Kluyveromyces lactis: one gene and its partners. The protein of the gene in region 1 binds, or shares a complex with, the protein of each later gene. Links are inferred from orthologs where the notes say so. Each region holds a gene or a part of one and is shown in the gene's direction. Other genes may lie near its edges. The genes, in order: MAK10, MAK31 and MAK3.

Region 1 (8,291 bases):
CAGACTACTCCAGGGCTATTAGGAGAATTATGGTGTCAATATTGCAGACTTTTTGAAGAGGATATTGAAAAATCCGAGGTCTTGCTGGACAAAGCCACTAACGTCCCTTTCAAATTTTTAGTAGATCTTGAAAATGTTTGGTTATATTGGTGTGAATACAGACTAAAAAGAAGCATTGACGATGCCATAAAAGTTTTGTCCGTTGTATTAGAAATACCAGATAATCATGAATTACTCCTACAAAAATTTGAGAAAGGAGAATCGCCAGCACAAGCAGCAATTTTCTCATCTAAACGCTTATGGGCAATGTACCTTGACTTATTGGAGGTCAAAGGAAACTATGGTACAGCTGTAAATGCGTATGAAACAGCAATACTCATCAAGGCAGCAACACCAGCCATGTTTATTAATTATGCGTTATTAAATGAATCTTCTGGCCATCAAGCAGAAGCTTTGGCTGTTTTCGAAAGGAGTGTTGAGATTTTTCCTCCAAGCGTATCGAAGTCTATTTGGGATATATATCTGGATGTGGCACTCAAAGCTGATATCACTAAAGAGCAAAAAAGAGATATTTTTGAATCTGCTATTAAGCTTGCAGCTTCAGGAGTGGCATGTGTTTCGTTCTTTGAAAAGTACAGCGACTTTGAGTTAAACCTTGGTTTCCACGAGAGAAGTGTCGAGATTTTGCACAAAGGAGCCAAGAATATTTCGGATCTTGAAAGTAAATGTACTTTATGGGAAGAATGCATCAATAGAAGTGAAAAACAATTGGACGTCAATCACACCAGAAAACTATATGAAGAATGTATAGAAACATTGCCCAATTCTAAAGCAATCAAGTTTCTACTTCCATTTGCTATCTTAGAAGAATCGCGTAATGAGGTTGCTCGTTGTAGAGCATTGTTAGACTACGGGAGCAAATTACTGAAGCCCGCACAGAATGAAGAACTTTGGGATTTCTGGAGGAATTTCGAAACTATGCACGGTACAAAAGACTCGTTCAAGAACATGCTAAAAGCACGTAGGTTCCTAGAGGACACAATGAAAGTAAATACAGAGGAAGTATCCAGACATGCAGATAGCATCGAATTTAGGGCGTCAACTGCGAAAATTAGTGGAAGCGGACCACCAAGCGCAGAAGATAAAGGATACTCAAATACGGCTGAAATTGATTTAGGTCTATAAAATGGATATATATTGATTAAAGTTGATAATGGCATATCGATCAATCTCTTATGTTTTGTTTTGGAAGATGTCGTATTGTCTTTCTTTGATGACGTGTAACATACAAAAACACTAGTATCTTACTGTTTTTCGACCCAATCAGTTGAACTCATGTGGGATAATCTACTTAGGGCTCTTGCAAATGCAAACCGTTCTTCATCTAATGCGAAAATCTGTGCTTTTTTGGCAATATCCTTAGAAAATCCGTGTTTACTGACCAATTCATCCTCTACTTCAGGTTCATCTTCATGTTTCATTTGATCTGCTGGTTTAAGCTCATAGTCGTTGACAATATCTTCTGGTTCCACGAATAGTGAGGTGAAGTCATCTGCACCAGTGGTAGCTAATTTACCACCGTTATCGTAAACTGCATCCAAGAATGTAATGAACCGTCTAACTTCGTCACGTACGTATATGGTTAAGTATGGCAAATCTGTGACAACAAAGGACTTGAATGAGTTAGCCAAAGTTAAATAGTCACCAGCAGCCAAAGGTTCTCCACATAATTGTTTAAAGGTGAATTGTGCTACTCTCCCAGGTGTACATTTAGGAACGAGTAATTGTCTACCCCAGATAGTCAATGGATAGTTATATACAATGTCATGGCCATTTTCTGACTTACTGGGACGATGCAGTTGGGCAAAATAACTATACCATTGCTGTACGTGTAATTTCCTCGCCAATTCACACTCTTTTGAAAAATAGGATAAATTATGACTTGGATAGTAATAAACAGATGAAATTGGTCTTGGAATCTTACGATAATCGGTAGGAGAATCCAACAATACCACTTCGGTTCTTTCCTTTATCAGTTCAATACATGGAACAAACGATTCTCTTTGAACACCATTGATGTAAAGATCATCTGGCTTTCTGTTACTCGTTGCAAAGAGTACAACACCGTACTCTTTGGAAAGCAATGTAGTAATTAACCTCCGTAAAATCATGGCATCTGCCACGTCCGTCACTTGAAACTCGTCGAAACAAAGCACTCTAGAAGTGTTTGCAATCTCTGCCGCTAGAAATGGGATTGGGTCGATATCTCTTCCCTTAGCTTCACCCAAAGCATCGAAATTTTGTTCGGATATAATGTCATGAGATCTTTTATGCACATACTGCATGAACTGATGGAAATGTATACGTTTCTTTGACAAAGCTGGAGGAACTGTCAAATAGAACAACTCCATCAACATCGTCTTTCCACATCCTACATCACCGTATAAATATATACCCTTAGGAACACCCTCCGTCGAATACTTCTCTTTCCTTGCAAATAATTTCCCAAGAAACCCTGTTTTCCAGCCGACTTGATCTAGCACGCTTGGTGGTTGTACTGGTTCCGGATTGTACGAAACCAAAGAGTCGTGCAAATGACCTAAGGATTTGATGATACTCCGCTGATACGGATCATCTCTTAATTTTCCGAGCTTTACCAACTCGTCATATTTCGACAACGGTGTTTCCGTAACATCCGCAGATTGAGAAACCCACCGCTGTGCCAATACTTGTTGGAAAAGTCCAAAGGTATACCCTGGTCTTTCAACAAGACCGCTGCCAACTCTACTGACAAGAACCTTCTTACAACCCTGTGAAAATATCAGCATCGCTTGTCCTTGTACATGACCTTTTCCCAATTGCAATAGATTGTATCTACCTTAATTAACGATAGAGTAACTAGTGTATTATTTATGGACAAATAGTAATTCGGAAGTGCAGCTCTAATACAAAACGTTTCCAATTGCTAAGAAGTGAATATCTAACATTCACCATGGCCTTTACTTAAATACTTGTTAGTGGGGCATCGGTTTGAAGTGATAGTTTCTCAATGTCCCCCACTCTGAGGCCGCTTTAATTTTTTTTCTCCGATTTCGGGTTCTTATTCTACAGTAGAAACATGCTGCTGATCTCTATCTATTAAAGGTCTTCCTCCCCACCCCTCCCTGTCGCTATCTGAATACCCTGAATTCGACTTGTAAAGCTATGACTGACAGCTTTGTTTGCTTTGGTTGGTGAAAACTAGAGATCATCAATTGTTCGAGAATGACTGTTAGCATGCATGTCGATATTTACCAATAGATACTCCGCTCTTGCGTACATAATAACGTAACGAACATACGTTTTTAAGAAACAGTGTGGGGTACCAGACTTGCAAGTGCCTCTAGCAACTGGGAATAGTTTGTACAATGCATGGCTCTCACAGTACCTTGACTTTTCTTAGGTCCGATACTTTTGTTTTATGTTGTGTAGAGTTTATTACCTCTTTTCTACTAAATGTTTAAATCCTAATTTAACTTGTGAGATAGCTTAAGGCTTCCACACGATATCATGAATTAGAGAGATTAGAACAGAATATACAGTTGCGGTAGCACTAGACATTGCAAGATTTTAGGGTTTGATATCTTGGGGCAACTAAATTTGTTTCCCAGCATTCCTGATTATTGATGGTGGTTGAGAATAACATTGCAGAGTTGGCGAATTTAACGCTAGATCATCGAATGGATCCTAAAAACGAAGCCCAGTTTATAGACATCACAGATCATTTAAAGGCCCTAGCAGCGAAGTTGGCACCAGAGACAGTGGTCAAAGAAGCTACGTTCAATCTGTTCGAAGGGACTTATGCATTGGAAGTATGCAACGTGAAATTAGATACAAGCCTTATTGAGTTATGCCCTGAAGAGTTGGAATTCGACTGCAATGTACCATACGGGGACTCAAATAATGGAGAAAGGCTTGATTATGTCACTGCGGTTTGTGATCGATTATGTCGCTCTTTGATGAATTGGCTTCATGATTACCAAACTCTACCCACTACGGTGCTAAGTTGTCGATACGTCGAATTTCTTATGGAATTATACACTTCGAACCCGGTTTCATCGTTACAATCGTTCCAAGGATTACGCACGCGCGACCCCTTGTATGATCAAGTCTTGTGCAGCTTTGTGATAGGTGTTTGTTCATTCATAAAGTTCACTTCCAAAGTTTTGAAAGATGGTGGTGTTTACGAGGAGGAAGACTTGAACTGTAACGTTATGAGTTTGGATATGCTCTCTGGCGTGGACACAAAAGAAGTAATAGATTTATTGAACTCTTCGTTGCAACTGTTAGTTCAGTCATACTCAGAATCTACGCATCTACAAAAACTTGTTGATTTAGTCAAACATTTGTTGCACTTACCCAATTATCATTATCCCTCATGTCAGTCTTCGGTTTCTTCAGACTTACTACCTTTGCAAAAATCACTAGATATTATTTCTTCATTGGTACAAGACGATTATACTACTAAGCAGCATTCATACCCTCCTGGTTGTTTTTCCAAGGGCATTCAAAAGAGGCGTGATAATAACTTCCCACCAAAGGATCTCTTTGAACCTAAGGGAGACGAATATGTCTCTTATACTGAATTCATGAGAGATATCATAGCGGCATTATCGGTAAAAGATTGCAATACAGCGTTCGAAATCAGACAATATGTTTGGTTTTTCAACCGAATTAGACAAAGGACAGTCATGGCTCGTGCGTTACTGCAATCATATTTAATTAGAGAAGACACCATCTTAGACAAGTTTCGGTTTAACACGTTCAAGGATATGCACCTTTACGAGTTCTCATTAGCAGGAACAGCATTGTACGATGTAATATCCAGCCGCGAGCAAACAACAGATCGCGATAATATGATAGAAGCCTTGAATGAACTCTCATATTGCCTCCTTCGTTGGTATCAAAATATGCCACAAAATTCATGTAGGCATCGGCAAGGATTTAATAGACTATTACTCGACTGGGACTCCGTTCAAGCGCAATTTGAGCAATATGAAACCCAATGGCAATCAATGGGAATTGTAGATAGCATTACAAACATGGGGAATATCCCATTGATGCCAGTTTCAACATGGATTTACACTACAAAGTTGCTTATGATGATAGAATTCACTTTAGAAGGATTTCATTTGGAAGTTTACAAGCCTTGGGAATCCTTTACTCAGTACTGGTTCTGTTATTACTTGTCGAGTCACTTGGAATCAAACTTGAAAAGATTGCACGAGTTTCTGTTGCAGAAGATCAGTTACATTTTGAATTACAATAAGAGAATAAAGAAACTCAAGGCCGGCGAAAAGAAAGAGAATGCTAAAGCGCGCTATAGACATTTAACAGATAATGTTTTACCTCAACTAAGACTAAACGAGAGAACTGTCAATTTCTTTTTCATGAAATGCACAATATTTAAGTCTCTCTCCCTGGCTCAAGTATTCCAATTTGCACTACTTAAATCTTTCAACGTAATAGATTCTAAGAATGATGTGTCTACCCGATTCAGTTCCGATAGACTCATACATAAACTTAGATTTAAGACCTTTTCCTCAATTGGAATACCCGAGATCCCCACATTTGAACAATTCCAAAAGTCATTAAACGATTTTGTCATTGAACCACCATCAATTCATTCCAAGATACCCAAACTTCTGAACTTTATGAATACTGAATTAGAATCTGCCAAGAGTGCACTATCTACTATCATACAAACCATAGAGACTGGAGAAACAGATGATTCTCCAGTTTCTACCGGCACAAAACACGTGAAAGAACCGGCGTTACAATGGTATAAATCAATGCTTAACTCAACTGTTGCATTGAGTGTCAATGCATCCGTGTTAAAGACGAAATTGTCGGAAGATTTGAAGTCACATGACTTGCATGCCACTTACGACGTTGAACTCAAATTCACACCTAACGGTTGCTACTATTTCCCATTGTTGACAATTTCACCTAAGAAAGCAAGAAATGCTTTACCACACACCACATAATGGTGATATTGCATGTATATAAACGGCCATATAGAAATATCAGTGTACATCTGAATCGGTAATTGTATGAACCCTAATTTACCTGTGTGATAGTGACCGTGAAGGGTTCACAGACGAAAATAAACAAGAAAACATGAGACTGTGCAACATCAGTGCCTCCATATATTTTGTATAATATGTATGGGTGTATTTTCATTCCCCTTAAAAAAGTTCCCGAAAGAGAAGTTTTGAGAGAAATCCTGATATCACGTGACATAGGCATATTATTCGATTCCCTGCGTAATCCCAGCCAAAGGACAAGACCAAAAGCACTACCAAGCAGGCCTCATTAGATGTGCAACGATCTCAGCTCTGCGAGCAACTTTCTGGCCCATACTCTCTTACTTTTGTTCCGTTCTTCGTACCAAGAAATTTGCGTCCTTTTTGTCAAATTTCGAAAATTCCTTGGTGGAATCTATGTTGCATCCCCTTGCCTAACATCCCAATTCTTTCTAGGATAGTGGGCTTGGATGCCACTGGGAAGGAAAACCCAGACAGGGCCTCTGCCTAGTGGTTCCCATTACTGCCCGCCTTCCTGGAAGCTAGACAGAACTCCCCTGCCTAGCCGTTTCCCCAGGTGGCAGTCTGCCCAGTTCGAGCCTACAGGAAATTTTCCAAAGACGAGCACTGGGGGGATAATCCAACGTTTCAACACAATGGTAAATCTGTAAAAGTAAAGGAACTTTTCAATTACAATAACGATTATTATTCAAGATTGGTAGTTAATTTATCCATTGCATATATTATTATATATTATTATTAGTTGTTTTATATCAGCTTTACTTTAATATTACTTCTTGGTTTACGAAGTCTCCATACCCAAGTAGGATAGACGAATTAGACACAAAATGCCTCCAAAGTTTGATCCAAATGAAGTCAAGTACTTGTACTTGAGAGCTGTCGGTGGTGAAGTTGGTGCTTCCGCTGCTTTGGCTCCAAAGATTGGTCCATTGGGTTTGTCCCCAAAGAAGGTTGGTGAAGATATCGCCAAGGCCACCAAGGATTTCAAGGGTATCAAGGTTACTGTTCAATTGAAGATCCAAAACAGACAAGCTACTGCTTCTGTTGTTCCATCCGCTTCCTCTTTGGTTATCACCGCTTTGAAGGAACCACCAAGAGACAGAAAGAAGGACAAGAACGTCAAACACAGTGGTAACTTGCAATTGGAAGACATCATCGAAGTTGCTAAGCAAATGAGAGAAAAGTCTTTCGGTAAGAACTTGGCTTCTGTCACCAAGGAAATCTTGGGTACTGCTCAATCCGTCGGTTGTCGTGTTAACTACAAGAACCCACACGACATCATCGAAGCTATCAACGCTGGTGAAATTGAAATTCCAGAAAACTAAATTATATCCAATCACCAATTGTCTGAAAGAGGATAAATGCATTCCATCATTTCTGTATTTTCTAGTCTAGGGTTTTTATTACAATAAACAAAAACTTAATCTATTTTCGTTTTAACTCTCTACCATTCCATCCATCCATATGAATCAAGGTACTTACTATTAACAGGAATTATATTCCACTTTTCATTATTCTAATAAACAGAACGTTCCGGCCCAATCACTAACTTTTTATCACATCACAGGAACTATATTTGAACAGTACAATTATTCCATCCATCTTGGAACTAAACAACAGAACAACATGAATTTTCCAAAAAATCAAAGTTTATCGTTTCATATCAAATTTGATCCATATACTTCAAAACGTTTGTCTACACTCTGGAGCTTGGTTAAAGTGAATCATTGATTATTTCTCGATTGAATTTTGGAGTTCTGCTATGATTGAAGAATGGTATCGGTTTTCTCATTTTGTGGAAACGGAGCAAGTGAGATATCTTGTTTCTTAGTACACTTAGTAAGAAGTTTTGCTGATCCATCATCTGATATTTGTGGCAGCATATCCGAAGTATAGTTCTTTCGAGTTTTTTCAATGGTATTGATACTTTTATTTTCCAACGTACTAAGATCCAATTTAATAGCAAACAATATTAAATCTTTGTCTATTACTCACCAAGATATACCTGAAATCTCTTTTGTGAGTTGGTTATATTGGTCCATTTCACTGACAAACATTATATTCTTTCGACATTGTATTTCTCTTGTTTCACTTGTCGGATCATAATTTGAAATGAAGTATACTTTTCTGTGACTTTTAAGGGTTTTCATGCTATTGTTTAGTACTTGATAGCAAAATGGGACTGTACAAATATAGTTCTTTCTC
Region 2 (6,359 bases), about 800 kb from region 1:
ACATCCTAACAAGATAGGAGTGGTTGGTAGACAGTTTCAAACGTTGTTATCACTTACCTATTTACATACTAATTGGTACCATTTTCGCCCCTTCAAAGTTTCAAAAAAATGTCCTGACTATGGGAAAATTGCGGGGAACCACGTGACTCACACGAGTTATTCCATTTGCGGCACACAGTTGCAACTGGTGATTCCAGCATCCAGACGTTAACCGTATAACTGGAGGATATAGGTCCTCTCTCATGGCTTTAATTTCTCAGTTTTCAGTTGAATATACATGTATATATTACTTGAAATGGTATTATGTCCAAGGTTTTGTCCCTCAGTTTCTTTTATTGGAAGTTCAGGTTTAGATATCAATAGTTGGAGTGAATGCAGTATATGCTAGTTTTGATGGATGAAGTGGATATGAGCATTAACTTTTAACTTTCAAATTTCAATCGTCGTCGTCACTGACTTCTATATCACTTAGTTCCATACTATCGTTATCGTCATGTGCTTGCTCGTCGTCTGATTCGTCCATATCCGCATCCTCATCCTCATCATCTGTATCATCGGAACTGTTCCATTTCCCAAACTGCTGTATGTATTTTTCCTTGGTAGCGTATTTGTTGATGTATTCATGTATCTTTTGTTCATACATATCTTTATCCTTCAGTTGCAACGTTGCTGCTTCGTTATTCAAAGGGTCCGACCCATTTGGCTCCTTCAACAACCCTGGGATCATCCATTCCACGATGTTTAAAAGGTCGTATAGCGGAGACCACGTAGAGTTGATCACGTCCAAACAGATCGACCCGGATGCAGCATCGATGTTCGGATGGAATATCTTGTTGACAAACCCTATACTGGGCGATTTGTAAGGATAGTTGTCAGGTAACTCAACGTGTAACCTCCACACCCCCTTTTCATACGGTGTATCCTTGGGACCATGAAATTTTATATGGAACTCTTGCATCTTATCTTCAACCAACTCAACGTCATGATCACTCATCAAAAGTTTCATGACGTCCGTTTCGATCCTCCTTTTTGAATTAGAACTGATTTCAAAAATGTAAACTTGTCGTTTATACACAAGTATATCGTGTAACGAGCCATTCAAGATTATAGTTAGTATTCTGAACAGATCATTCAAACTTTAGTCATAAAAGATACTGAGACACAGCATCTTAAAAAAAAGAAAAAACTCCATTTCAACGAACATACCTCATCTTTAATTAATAAGCTTGACCGTAGCGTGCCTATCGAATACAATAACGCGATATCAGCACCAAACGATTCTATTATCGTTGTCTTAACGCCTGGAACAGCAAAAGATGATGAGTGCTTTCCTTGTTGAAGGGGTTAGCAACTTAAAAGGATCTTTTTGAAGTTCACTTTCCACAATTTTCAAATTCAATGATGGCAGAAGACAGGAAGTCACGTGACAGGAAGAGCAAAAAAAATAGAATACAATGCACAAAAGAGAACCTCTCGGAATTGGGCAGCTTGTATCATAGCATCCCCGTCTTATTAATCTGATTCTGATTTCAAAGTCTCAACTTCTTGTTGTACCGATTGAAGCCTTTTCCTCAGAGAAGCCAGTTTCTTTTCGCGGTCTTCTGACGAACCAAGAAACAATTCGGTTCTGCTACTGTCGTCCAACAAGTTGAAAAGCTCCACCATATTAGCTCTTCTAGACAATAGGTCTTCTGCTGTGATTGTCTTGAGATTGACTTTCAAATCTTGTGGTTGTTCGGTTCCTTGCGTGGTGGTCATTGCGAAATACGATAATACTTTGATAAAACACTGACAAGATGTCGAAAATAACCAGAAGACACAATGGTTGCAGCTAATACGAGTAAAGCTTTCTGAAATGATATCAATTCCAGCGGATACTGAGTCGTTGATACTGAGTCGTTGATACTGAGTTGCTTAGTGAGAAAGAACGAGGATTTCAACGAGCATCTGAACAGATGTAGATGTTTATATCTGTTTAAAACTAGAGATTTCCCATTAAAAAAAAAAAATACGTAAAAGTATATGAAATGAGTTTAGTGCAGAGATTGAAATCTGGCAAACTACCTCAAAGATGAGAAACTGGGCAACGGCAACGCATCAACCAGTTATCATTATCACTCGCATAATTTACATTAATGACAGATTTATCTAACGTACACTTACACGATTTACTGAGCGAAACTTTGTACATAAACTTGGATCAGAAACGATCTTTGACCGGGAAGCTCATCGCTATTGATTGCAAAGCAAACCTTCTACTGGATGAAGTGGTCGAAAATAATGACGGCCATGTACGGAAGATGGGTTTAGTAAGTGTACCATTTGTTTCTGTACGGTCCGTAAAAGTTAGAAGGGAACTGGTCGACACTATCAATGCTCTGAAATTGAATATTTCTTCCCAATACGTATGATAATACAAATTAAAATAAAAAACTGATCTAACTGTTCCCAATAGGTACCTACAGACTTAATATTTCATTGGTTGAAGAGAGTTCAATATTTCACTGTGGCCCTGCTTCAGTTCATAAGTGGATAAATAATATAATAATCTATCTGCAAAAGTCGTTTTATTCCAGTGCATTCCATTGTGAGATGGTACACCGATCTGTTCGATGGCACAACCTGCAGCAATATTGCCACATATACTGGCAATTGAAATGTCTTTACACATGGCGTATGCGAATGCAAATGCTCCAAGGAAAGTATTTCCGCCTCCTGTTGGATCAATGACACATTCTGGAGTCTTGTAATGGTATGCTGGGAAATGGATAATGTCATCGTTTGATGGATTTTTATTGCAAATTAAGGCCAATGACCCTTTTTTACCACATCTGAGGACACAAATGTTACCAGGTTTAATCAATGCTGCTAATTTCAATAATATTGTGCTGCAATCCGAAAGTTCAGTTGGCTCTGTTTCACCCAGCATCCTAGCGCCTTCTTCCGCATTTGGCGAAAAGATGAAATGGTATGGTCCGTTGAGCAACTTCTTAATCCCTTCGAGGTGCTCAACGTTACACAAATCTGGTATTGGTTCCCATATAAACGTTTGACCTGTTTTCAGAGTTCCCTCAAATGACAACTCTTCGGCAAGCTTATCCAGAATATCGGCCACTCTATCAGCAGAACATAGCAAATGATAGCATGAAACTCTTTGTACTGCTTTGACACCGAACGACTCGCACCAGTCAGAAACATCTATTCTTTTCTTTGGCGCTAGATATTTGAATGATCTAAAATCATTCGGACCATATACGTTATAACCTCTTGTAGTTAATCTTTCATTGTCATCTCGAAACACACAACCCGTGTCCCAAGATTCGATAGTCTCCGTCAGTTGCTTAGGGAAATCCATTCCACGATCAACAATCCATAGCAGTTCCTTGCGCAGAGATAGGTCAGTACAGCATATTGATGCGCCTAACATGGCATACGTCCCACCTCCACCTAGTACGTCGTAATAGTGCGATGACGCCGTCTCGATCTCATCGATGATAAGCATCCCATTGGTAGTAAGAAGACCCATATTGGCAATGACTGCTTAATTCCGTTTACACCTGAAAATTATAGTGATGGGCGGTAGGTCTCATTATACTGCAGTTGACCATGTATATTTCTTATCAGAGTTCTTTATAACTTCGAAATAAATTCTTTGATAATGTTTCGTTCTTATCTCTGAGCATCAACACCTGACTAGTAAGAACCGGGCAATTATTGCATCATTGAAGACGAATCTATGTCTATGGAAAACAGATAGTAACAAAGATAGCATTGGAATATGTTGTAATGCTGGTAGGGAAGAAGTAGGTTTAAAAAGATGGACCTCTATTGACAACTCTCTACTCAAATATAGATGGAACGAGAATTAATAACAAACATCGTTAATTTGTTAGCGCCGTGGCGCAGTGGAAGCGCGCAGGGCTCATAACCCTGATGTCCTCGGATCGAAACCGAGCGGCGCTATTATTACTTTTTAGTTTTTTATCATCAATCAAACAGATAAAGGTCTTGTATGCCAAAGGAAACTATCAAACGCTACATAAACGACCACACCCTATAACGTGAATTTGTCGTTGTGCGTTGCCATGTCCCAAAGGAGTTTTCTTATTTGAAACATACATTATTAGATTAAATTATGATTATACAATGCATAAGTGTTACCTTATAATTATTAAATACAGCGGGATCTTTCTCTCTGAAATATCAATGGATCAGCGAAAAGTACATGTATGCTATCTCTAATTCATTCTTCTAAACTTTCTTTTAAGGGCAGGTCTTGTTACGTGTTTGACTTGGAATATGTAGAAGTAGCCTGGGGAATATAAAATAAATGAAAATGATACCAATGGTATTTTGTGGATACAATATGATCAATAAAGTGAAAGTAGGAAAGAAAAATTACACTTAATATCGTTTCAATAGAGTGAAGACAATAGAGTCAAAGTACCAATAAACTCAGGCGTTAGACATAATATGAGGCGGGTCTAGCAAACATTAATGTGATAAACAACAATAAAGAAAAAAACAGAAGAGGAATGGACTACAGGATAGTGAACAATGCAAAATGGGGAGGACTTTAAAAGACAAACAAAACAAAATAGAAAGAAAAGAAATATGGCAGATGGGAAAAGAGAATTGAAAATATTCTTCACTGTCCCAGGTCAAAAGAGCCAGCTTGTAATTAATTTTTATAATTTTTAATTTTTTAATATTTTTTTTCTTGTAGAAATAATTTCTTGTGTTTTTAATTTTTGGAGCTGTTAAGAATCTATCATATCATACTAAGAATTGAATAATTTGTTGAGTAATGTTGTACAACTCGAAAGAAGCATCTTCCTTTTCACTAGACTGCTTGTTAGATCTCCCATTGCCTTCTATATTGTTCGAATTTCCATTGTGATCAATGTTGGTATCTTGTCCATCTTGCATGTATTCCCTAGCCACAGCGTAGTTTTCATCAGCGATTTTCTTGACCCCGTTGACGAGTTTTTGATCTTCTTTAATTAACTTGTAAATGGTTTCGTTGTGACATTCAAATAGTTGTAAAATGGTCCATAGAGCAATATGTTCATAGGTAGGGAAGTCACTAGACAAGAATCTGATCAAGAAACCCTTGATACCATCGTTTGGTTGACCCCAGTACTCCAATATTTTCTCTAAATTGCTGACCCTAGAGATCAAGTTTGCTACAGCAGCAGCAGAGTTACCAGAGATCTCTTGGTCCTGGGACATTGTCATTGGGATCAAAACTTTTAGTACGTCTTGTTGCAAAAGATCATATTTAGTATTATCTGAAAGTGCCAAGATAGCAAAGCAAGCACTAATTTCACTTTGAACGCTGATGGGACATGTCAAGGCAAGTTGCTTGAATTTTTCAATTACACCAGATTGGAAGAACTCTGCTCTATTTTTTTCAGATGAAGCAGCCAAGTTTCTTAAAGTTGAAACAGCATGACATTGAATTTCTTCTGATTCTTGGTAATCAAGCAATTTTACTAAAGGTGGTAGAAATCCGGCATCTACAATTAGACCTTCGTTTAATGGATGGATGGAAATATTTCTGATACATGCGACGCTGGCCAAGACTAATGGTAAAGAATCCGACTGAATCAATTGAACCAAGTCTGGTAATCCACCAGCTCTAACAATCTCCAATTGGTAGTTGGTATCTGAAGCTAAGTTTCTCAAGGCCAAAGTAGCTTGACATTTCACACGAGGTGAAGTAGAGTTCATCAAAGATACAAGCTTGGTGACCAGTTTTGGTGCATGCTTTGAAAGGTATCTTCTATTGGACTCATCGACAGCAATGTTTGACAAAGCTGTCGTACAGTAATATTGAACGTCAGCGTCCATGCTGGAGAGTAAAGAGACAAGAACTGGGACTGCACCAGCATCGACCAATTCCTTTCTGTTTTCTCCAGAGTGAGTCATATTTAACAAAGCTCCAGTAGCATTTCTTTGAACTCTGATATTTGAAGATCTAGCCAACTTTGTTAATGGTACCAAGGCACCCGATTGGGCAATTTCAATCTTATTGTCATCTTGAGTGGCCAAGTTGGTAATACACCCGACAGCATTACACTGCACTTCCACGTTATCAGATTTCATTTGCTCAATCAAGGGTTCCAATCCACCCATTTCCACAATCAACAACTTATTTTCATTGTTAACAGCCAAATTACCCAACGCAGCACACGATGCAATCCTAATTTGTGGATCTGGGTTGGTCAATAGCATTAATATCGGCTCCAAAACGTCTCTGCTTACCGGACTAACATACTTCTCAGTAATCTCTGCAAACGCCAATGCAGCACTTCTTTGTAAATTCAAATTATCAGAATAAACCAACGTTGTTAAAG
Region 3 (6,675 bases), on another chromosome or scaffold:
TGAGACAATAAGACATGGAACCGTTAAGAAAAACAACCAAATAACTGCTAAAGATCATTTTCAGGACGTTCGACAATTTGTGTTTGAAACCGAGGATCATGAAGCCTATCATCCAGGCGATACAGTTTCTTTATATCCCGAAAATTCAGACAATGACGTTGAATTATTCCTCGAAGCTCAACCTCATTGGAAGAAGGTCGCTGATGAACTTCTTACAATAACAGACCTGGAAAATTGTGATCGGTTCAGAGATGGTGGTGTTGTGAAACCACTTACTCTAAGAACCTTGTTAAAATATCATTTTGATATCGTCAGTATACCTAGGCAGAGCTTCTTCATGAAAACTTGGACTTTTGCAAATGCTCACGAAGATAGACCAACCGATCAAGAGCTATTAGAACAACAGAGGGATAAACTAAGACAGTTCGGGTATGGACAAGACCTACAGGACTTGTATGATTATTGCAATAGACCAAGAAGATCAGTATTAGAGGTTATACAGGATTTTGAATTCTTAAAACTTCCATGGGAGTTCGCATTAGATTATCTACCCATGATAAAGCCCAGATTTTATTCCATCTCAAGTGCACCATCTGATCCTAATGTTGAACTAACTATTGCTATTGTTCGTTATAAGACTTTGTTAAGAAAGGTACGGAAAGGACTATGCACGAACTACCTACTTACATTAACCGAAAACGATACAGTTCGTTATAAACTTCAAAATAATCATTTACTTCATGAAGATATTATTGGCAAACCTATCATCATGACTTCTCCGGGGGTAGGTCTCGCACCAATGAAGTGCTTGATCGAGTCTAATTTATTCAAGGATCAGTACTTATTTTTTGGTAACAGAATGAAGGATAAGGACTTTTTATATGAAGATACGTTATCTATGTGGAAGAAAGAAGGTAAAATTAATTTATTCACTTGTTTTTCGCGGGATCCCATAAATTCTCCTCATGCTAAGTATGTTCAAGATCAGTTGTGGAATCAATCTAGTCTAATAGCAGACCTAATTTTGAAAAAATCTGCCATAGTATATATTTGTGGATCCTCCGGTAAAATGCCAGTTCAGGTTAGGTTGACTATAGTTGAGATCCTGAAAAAACATGGAAACTTCGAAAACGCAGAAGAAGCCGAGCATTATCTAAAAGAAATGGAAAGAACTGACAGGTATATGCAAGAGACATGGTAGTTCAGTCAAGATTGAAAAAAGCGTCAACTTCATACCACACGGTATTTCTTGGAAACTTAAAGGGGTTCTTTGAATCATCTCCAACCACATGCTTTTCCAAGGCCGAGATTCTACCCATTGCCCATTCCCTATCTTTCAATAATTCGTAATTAGACGTTGAGTTTCTAAGAACGTATTTGATATCAGTATTTGTCGCAGTGAAAATTGCCCATACAACATGCTTCTTGGCCGAATCTTGGGTGTTAACATTGAATGTATCCGGTCTGCCATTAGCGTTGAGTGCAGGATTCCTGTTCGCTTTACTTAATGGAATATTTTCTGTGATAGAAGCAGAGCTTCCGTTAAGAATGCTAGCTGCAATATCAGACTTGACAACATTTGGACGTTGCATAACAGACTGTGTAGATGAGTTTAAATCAATGGATGAAAATGAAGAATTTAGCGACGATATTGAAGAATTTAATAGCAATTCCTGATCGTTGATTGGTAAAAAAAGAGCAAGATCTCCCGGTTGGAAGTTATATATTGTAATTTTGTCTCTAGCACTTTTCTGCAAAAGGAGTTTTTTATTCTTGTTCTCTTTCCTAAGCTTTTTCGCCAAACTTTCGATATCATTGAACCTGCGGATCACTGACGTTTCGAACAATTGGTTACCAAATAGTTTTTCTATGTAGGTAATGAAATTTTCATGAGGTTTGTAGTCAATCTGATCCTTTATAGATTCGAAAGTACTCTTTATTTCTTGTGCAATTACACTTTTTGCCATGGAACTATTCATATCAGCCAAACTTGAATCCAGATCTTTTCTTAAACCTTTGACGCGAACAATTTGAAAGTTTCCATCTTGATCTTTGGAAAGTAACAACCCGATACTCGCCAAAATGAAAATACTACCTTGGAAAACATCATATAAAGTTTTTTCCAATTGCTTATTAAAGTTGATAAACTCTGCATCAATTGTTTTGCTTTTTGATATTTGCAATTGGTTAAGATCTTTTTTAAGACTTTCAACTTCTTCTTGCAAGGAAGCCCGTTCCTGTTCTGCTTGAACTTCTTGGGTTGCCATATTGACAAGAAGATCTTCTTTCATTTTGTTTAAATCCTCGGATTTCCGTCGGGATTCTTCAGATTCCCTTACAAGTTCCTCATTTTGCTCAAAGAGGGATCCTAAATGCTTCTTGAAATTCTCCGAACGAGAATTCATTTCAGAATAGAAGTTTTCGCGTTCAATCAACAACGTTGATAATTCTTTGTTTAAATTTGTCATGGATTCTCTGTAAGCATTTTTCTCGACCTCCATATGGGAAAGTTGACTTTTAAGTGTTGAAAGTTCAGTTTCAAGGGTCTTGGTTAATTCAGAGTATTTGCTTATATCCTTTTGCAGGTTTTGAAATTCCTCGAAGGTTTTATTTGATTCGTGTTGTTGTTTGGAACTTGGGAGATCGAATGTTGAACTTTGCTGTAACTTTGTGCTCACGGTACTATTGCGGAACATTTGGACCATTGCAGTTTCCTTATTCAGAATGCCAGCTGGCCATGAGTCGTACTGATGGAACTGTGCATCAAGTAATAAATGTTCTAGCTTTTTGATACGAGCCTTGTATCCTTCAATGATAAGCTCCGAGTCCTTCGAGAGCGCGTAATCTGTAGGTAAATGCAAGCCTGTCAGCTCCGCCTGCGAGACTTTTGACTTAAGTAAATTAATTGTAGGTTCACCTAAGTTCAATGAAGCAAGTTGATTAATATAATCTTTAATCTGAGACAATGTCACCTGTTTATGATCACTTATGGACGGAATGTATACTGATGATGGTAGCAAACTATCAACATCTAGAAATCGAGTTATCCATTGGAAATCTTTGTACCAAGAGTTTCTTTGTCGTACTTCGTCATCCAAAAGATGCTGCAATGAAGATTCATGTTGTTGTCGAAGTTGAGAGTAACGGTCTGTCCAGAGCTGCTCTCTGTATAACTCAATCAAATACAATCCATAACACATAGGCAAATCCAATACTTGAGATAATTTCAGTTCTTCATTCTTCAAAAACTTCATATTGGTCTTAACGTCTTTAGTTAACACCGACTTCACCATTATTACGCTCATCTGCGATTTTGCAACGGAAAGGTACAACTGTTGCAACTTCTGCTGGACAGTAGCTTTTGTATCTAAATTCGTGGAAGCTTTATTGAACATTGCTTGCGAAATTGTTTGTAATTTGGGGACATGTACACTTTTGAATGTTTCAAACTTCTCTTTTGAAGCATCTTTAGAAGCCTCTTCTTTATATTGATTTGATACAAGCTCAATCTCTGTAGCCATTTCTTTAAATCGTTCAACCATTTGGTTGTCCATATCATCAGAACTGACAACTGAATTTTTTTTCACATCATCTAAATCTGAGATTAACTGTGTTCTCTGCTGGTAGCATTCATCAATACTTTTCTTTAACTCCTTTAACTTCGCATTTAGTTCACGATCCAGACGGTGAATGGAATCCTCGATCTCTGTTAGCTCGCTATAATTGAAAAATGATGATAATAACTGATTAGAAACTTTAATATTGCCGAGAATATTATCATAAAAGGAATGCCATTGATTTGAGGCACCATCTTCGTGAAGCTTGTTAAGAAAATCAACGTTGCCATTATACAGCACCTCCACTTCATAGCAGTAGTTTTTCAAATACTCAAGCATAACAGTACCACACTCTAATAACCGTTGAACGTCTTGATAAGTTTCTTTTATAACGTCCTGGAAAAATTCAACGTCTGATTGCAAAGCCTTCAACCACCCTAAATTCCGTAGAATGACATTTTTATCCAACTGTAACGAATCGCTTATCGGCGATGGCAAAGGTTTGAAAAGTTGGAACCTTGGCTTTGGGGAAAACTCGATCTCCTCATTGAATATTCCACGGTCAAATACGTATATTTCTTCCAATCCTTCTTGTTGCAGCTTTCTGGAATCCCATCCTGCTTTCTTCAATATCATTCCATAAGGTAACAATAGAAGTATGTCATCGAGCGGTATCTGGAAAGTATCACTTGCAAACTGTTTCAAATCTAAGAAACTAGGGAAATAAACATTAGATAATTGGTGTGAAACTCCTGATGTAGCACATATCAACTTGCATGGCGGCATTATTAATAAAATTATCAGATTGTAACCTTAAGACTTTGGAAAGAAATAAAGGGACAATGTCGATTTAATGATGATGAAATGGGGGGTGTTAGCTCACAGGATTCTATATCATGAGTATTCTTTAAATGCTGAGATATATCTAATCTGGAGTACTAAAGCCGTAAGCAACAAGTGGAATAAGAGCCGATAAACGTCAGGGGACTGAAAAACTATGTAACAGGTTTTCTCACCTATAAAACTTACCGGGGGGTCCATATAATCTTTTTTCGAATCAGTTTGGTGAAGCAAGAGCACGTGACTGATATGCTTTTATTATAAAAATTTGGTTTTAAACCTCCAGATGATGAGATAAACAGTTTTAAGTAAAGCTTTTTATATTCGCTAGCTTCGGCAGCATCTACTCTCATTGATATAACTAATTAAAAATTAATAAGAAAGTATACTGCAGATAAACTAAGCAAAGGATGGTCGAAATAAGGTACACACGATTCGATATCAGTAATGACATGGAGTTTTCCACCATCAAGAAATTGATCGATGAGGATCTCAGTGAGCCATATTCGATATACGTGTACAGATTTTTCCTAAACCAATGGCCGAACCTAACGTATTTGGCATGGGCAGAAGGATCGGGTAAGCCCATAGGATGTATAGTATGCAAGAGCGATACTCATAATGGAGTGCGGTTAAGAGGATACATTGGCATGTTAGCAGTGGAGAAACAATATAGAGGCCGTGGGATAGCGAAAAAACTAATTACCTTAGCTATAGATACTATGATTGATGAAAAATGTGACGAGATTATGTTGGAGACTGAATGCAGCAATGCAGCTGCTTTGCATTTATACGAGAATATGGGCTTCATCAGAATGAAGAGATTATTCCGGTATTATTTGAACCAGGGAGATGCGTTTAAACTCATTTTACCGATTACAGAGAAAAGTTGTGTGAGAAGCACATTCCTGGGGATGGATTCCTTTCCTACCGACACCATACTCTAAAGTAAATTGAATTGATTTTATATCAGTAATTGTCATTTTAATACACACACAATATATATATATATATAGCATTGCGAAAAGAGATTTCATTCCTCTTCATCGAACTTTGGAGCCAAATAGAATTGCAAATTACCGCTTGAGATATCGAATTGGAAAAGGGCTGGCGCTTCTTCCGATAATTTTATAGTGATTGTATCTGATAGAGAGGACCCCTTAATGATGTCGTTTAAATATTTAGCACCGAACCTTAAATCTACTGGTTTTTCTATGGTAACTTTAATTGAACTTTCAGGATGATCCAAATCGGTGAAAGGTTTCACAACAATGGACCCACTTCCGATATCACCTTCTGCGGCGAATTTGATGGTATCCTTAGTGACTAAGATGTTAATAGAATCACTCAATTGACTTAAGTCACGTACGGTCTTCGCGAAATCAGCAGATGGCATTGTAATATAGGATTCATATTTCATATCAGAGATCTCCAAGAAATCTGTTTCGATTTCCATCAATTTTAAAGAGTATTCACTGACACGGTCTCTTTTTGTATCTTCGAATAAGATTAGAATAGAATCTGGAGAATCTTCAGCGATAAGCGTTAGATTGTCCGAATTGTTACCACAACGAAGAATCTTACTCAAGTTCGTCAAATCGCAACCTAGCACGACATTTCTGTCCGCTCTAAACTCTTCAAATGCTTCTACATTGATGGAAAGAGAGACAAGGAGGACACGAGAGTCATCGACGGCTTGTGCAGCGATACCCTTTTCTGAACAATTGAAGTTAATCAATTGGACACAGTCTCTAAAGGAATCGATAATTCTTTTGAATAACCCAGCTTCTGTGAATTTAGCTTCTAGCATTGATAATAGGTAGGTCTGTTTGATGTCAGAGGTGAGAAGTGAATACTCTTGGACTATCGAGAGGAGCAGTAGTTTCACGGCCTTGAAGGAGTAAAGATATAGTTATATAACATTGAAAATTGTTCTGGGTAAAAAAAAGTGAGACGCGTTCTTTTTTTTTTTTTTTTACTTCCTTTCCTAAACCACGCGTTTGGCTGGAAATATATCCGGGTAATCTATCACGTGACTATTAATACCATGTCCTCAACTCGGGCTCGCAAAGAGCCACCTACCTGCCAACAATCAAACATACATCATCACTTTAGCCAATTAATATTACAAAATATATCCCAAGATAGATAAGATAAACAGTTATACATTTATAAAGACACATGTGTCGGTGAGAAGATTCAAACAGGGCAAGGTTTACAAAAATATCAAAGAACAAAGTGAGTGAGAAAAGAAAAGGGTCTGAAAGACCCTTTTCTC

The links.
Region 2: the proteins of MAK10 (region 1) and MAK31 are in contact, whole or in part, in a crystal structure (PDB 6YGA), measured with the Saccharomyces cerevisiae proteins. The link is inferred for Kluyveromyces lactis from reciprocal best matches to the Saccharomyces cerevisiae genes MAK10 and MAK31. Residues at the interface, in NP_010861.3 of Saccharomyces cerevisiae: Asp4, Ser5, Gly8, Ser9, Ile12, Asp15, Phe16, Asp17, Gln18, Leu19, Val20, Asp21, Val22, Thr23, Leu25, Phe26, Asp27, Leu29, Cys30, Leu33, Lys34, Pro35, Ala37, Ile38, Val39, Lys40, Asp41, Phe44, Glu48, Gly49; in NP_009948.1 of Saccharomyces cerevisiae: Leu4, Lys5, Leu6, Ser7, Phe9, Ile10, Leu14, Ile15, Leu18, Thr19, Glu20, Arg22, Ile23, Leu24, Val25, Leu28, Val29, Ala30, Val31, Asp32, Ala33, Met35, Leu37, Leu38, Glu44, Arg45, Gly47, Ser48, Arg51, Met52.
Region 3: the proteins of MAK10 (region 1) and MAK3 are in contact, whole or in part, in a crystal structure (PDB 6YGB), measured with the Saccharomyces cerevisiae proteins. The link is inferred for Kluyveromyces lactis from reciprocal best matches to the Saccharomyces cerevisiae genes MAK10 and MAK3. Residues at the interface, in NP_010861.3 of Saccharomyces cerevisiae: Pro35, Glu36, Ala37, Ile38, Asp45, Leu46, Phe47, Gly49, Thr50, Ser52, Leu53, Glu54, Lys59, Leu60, Asp104, Tyr105, Gln106, Glu173, Asp174, Pro284, Arg286, Thr289, Gln332, Asn403, Cys405, Gln409, Leu455, Asp456, Ile457, Lys459; in NP_015376.1 of Saccharomyces cerevisiae: Ile10, Arg11, Lys20, Asp24, Leu27, Ser28, Glu29, Pro30, Tyr31, Ser32, Ile33, Tyr34, Val35, Arg37, Tyr38, Asn41, Gln42, Lys98, Glu101, Ile104, Asp105, Gln108, Glu131, Gly132, Met133, Gly134, Ile136, Arg137, Met138, Lys139.

The regions. Positions count from the first base shown.
Region 1 is NC_006037.1:171,352-179,642, reverse strand, and holds MAK10 (Mak10p), read left to right. Parts: upstream 1-3,665; coding exon 3,666-6,026; downstream 6,027-8,291. Other genes in the region: mRNA splicing protein SYF1, read left to right, coding at 1-1,185; AFG1 (Afg1p), read right to left, coding at 1,305-2,828; RPL12B (60S ribosomal protein uL11), read left to right, coding at 6,914-7,411.
Region 2 is NC_006037.1:973,319-979,677, forward strand, and holds MAK31 (Mak31p), read left to right. Parts: upstream 1-2,135; coding exon 2,136-2,411; downstream 2,412-6,359. Other genes in the region: E2 ubiquitin-conjugating protein UBC8, read right to left, coding at 437-1,040, 1,207-1,211; HTL1 (Htl1p), read right to left, coding at 1,513-1,758; MAK32 (Mak32p), read right to left, coding at 2,468-3,526; protein anchor VAC8, read right to left, coding at 4,777-6,359. UniProt on the Saccharomyces cerevisiae protein: Component of the NatC N-terminal acetyltransferase, which associates with the ribosome to acetylate nascent protein chains in a cotranslational manner.
Region 3 is NC_006038.1:1,056,526-1,063,200, reverse strand, and holds MAK3 (peptide alpha-N-acetyltransferase MAK3), read left to right. Parts: upstream 1-4,807; coding exon 4,808-5,344; downstream 5,345-6,675. Other genes in the region: TAH18 (NAPDH-dependent diflavin reductase), read left to right, coding at 1-1,201; autophagy protein ATG11, read right to left, coding at 1,203-4,343; POL30 (proliferating cell nuclear antigen), read right to left, coding at 5,431-6,207.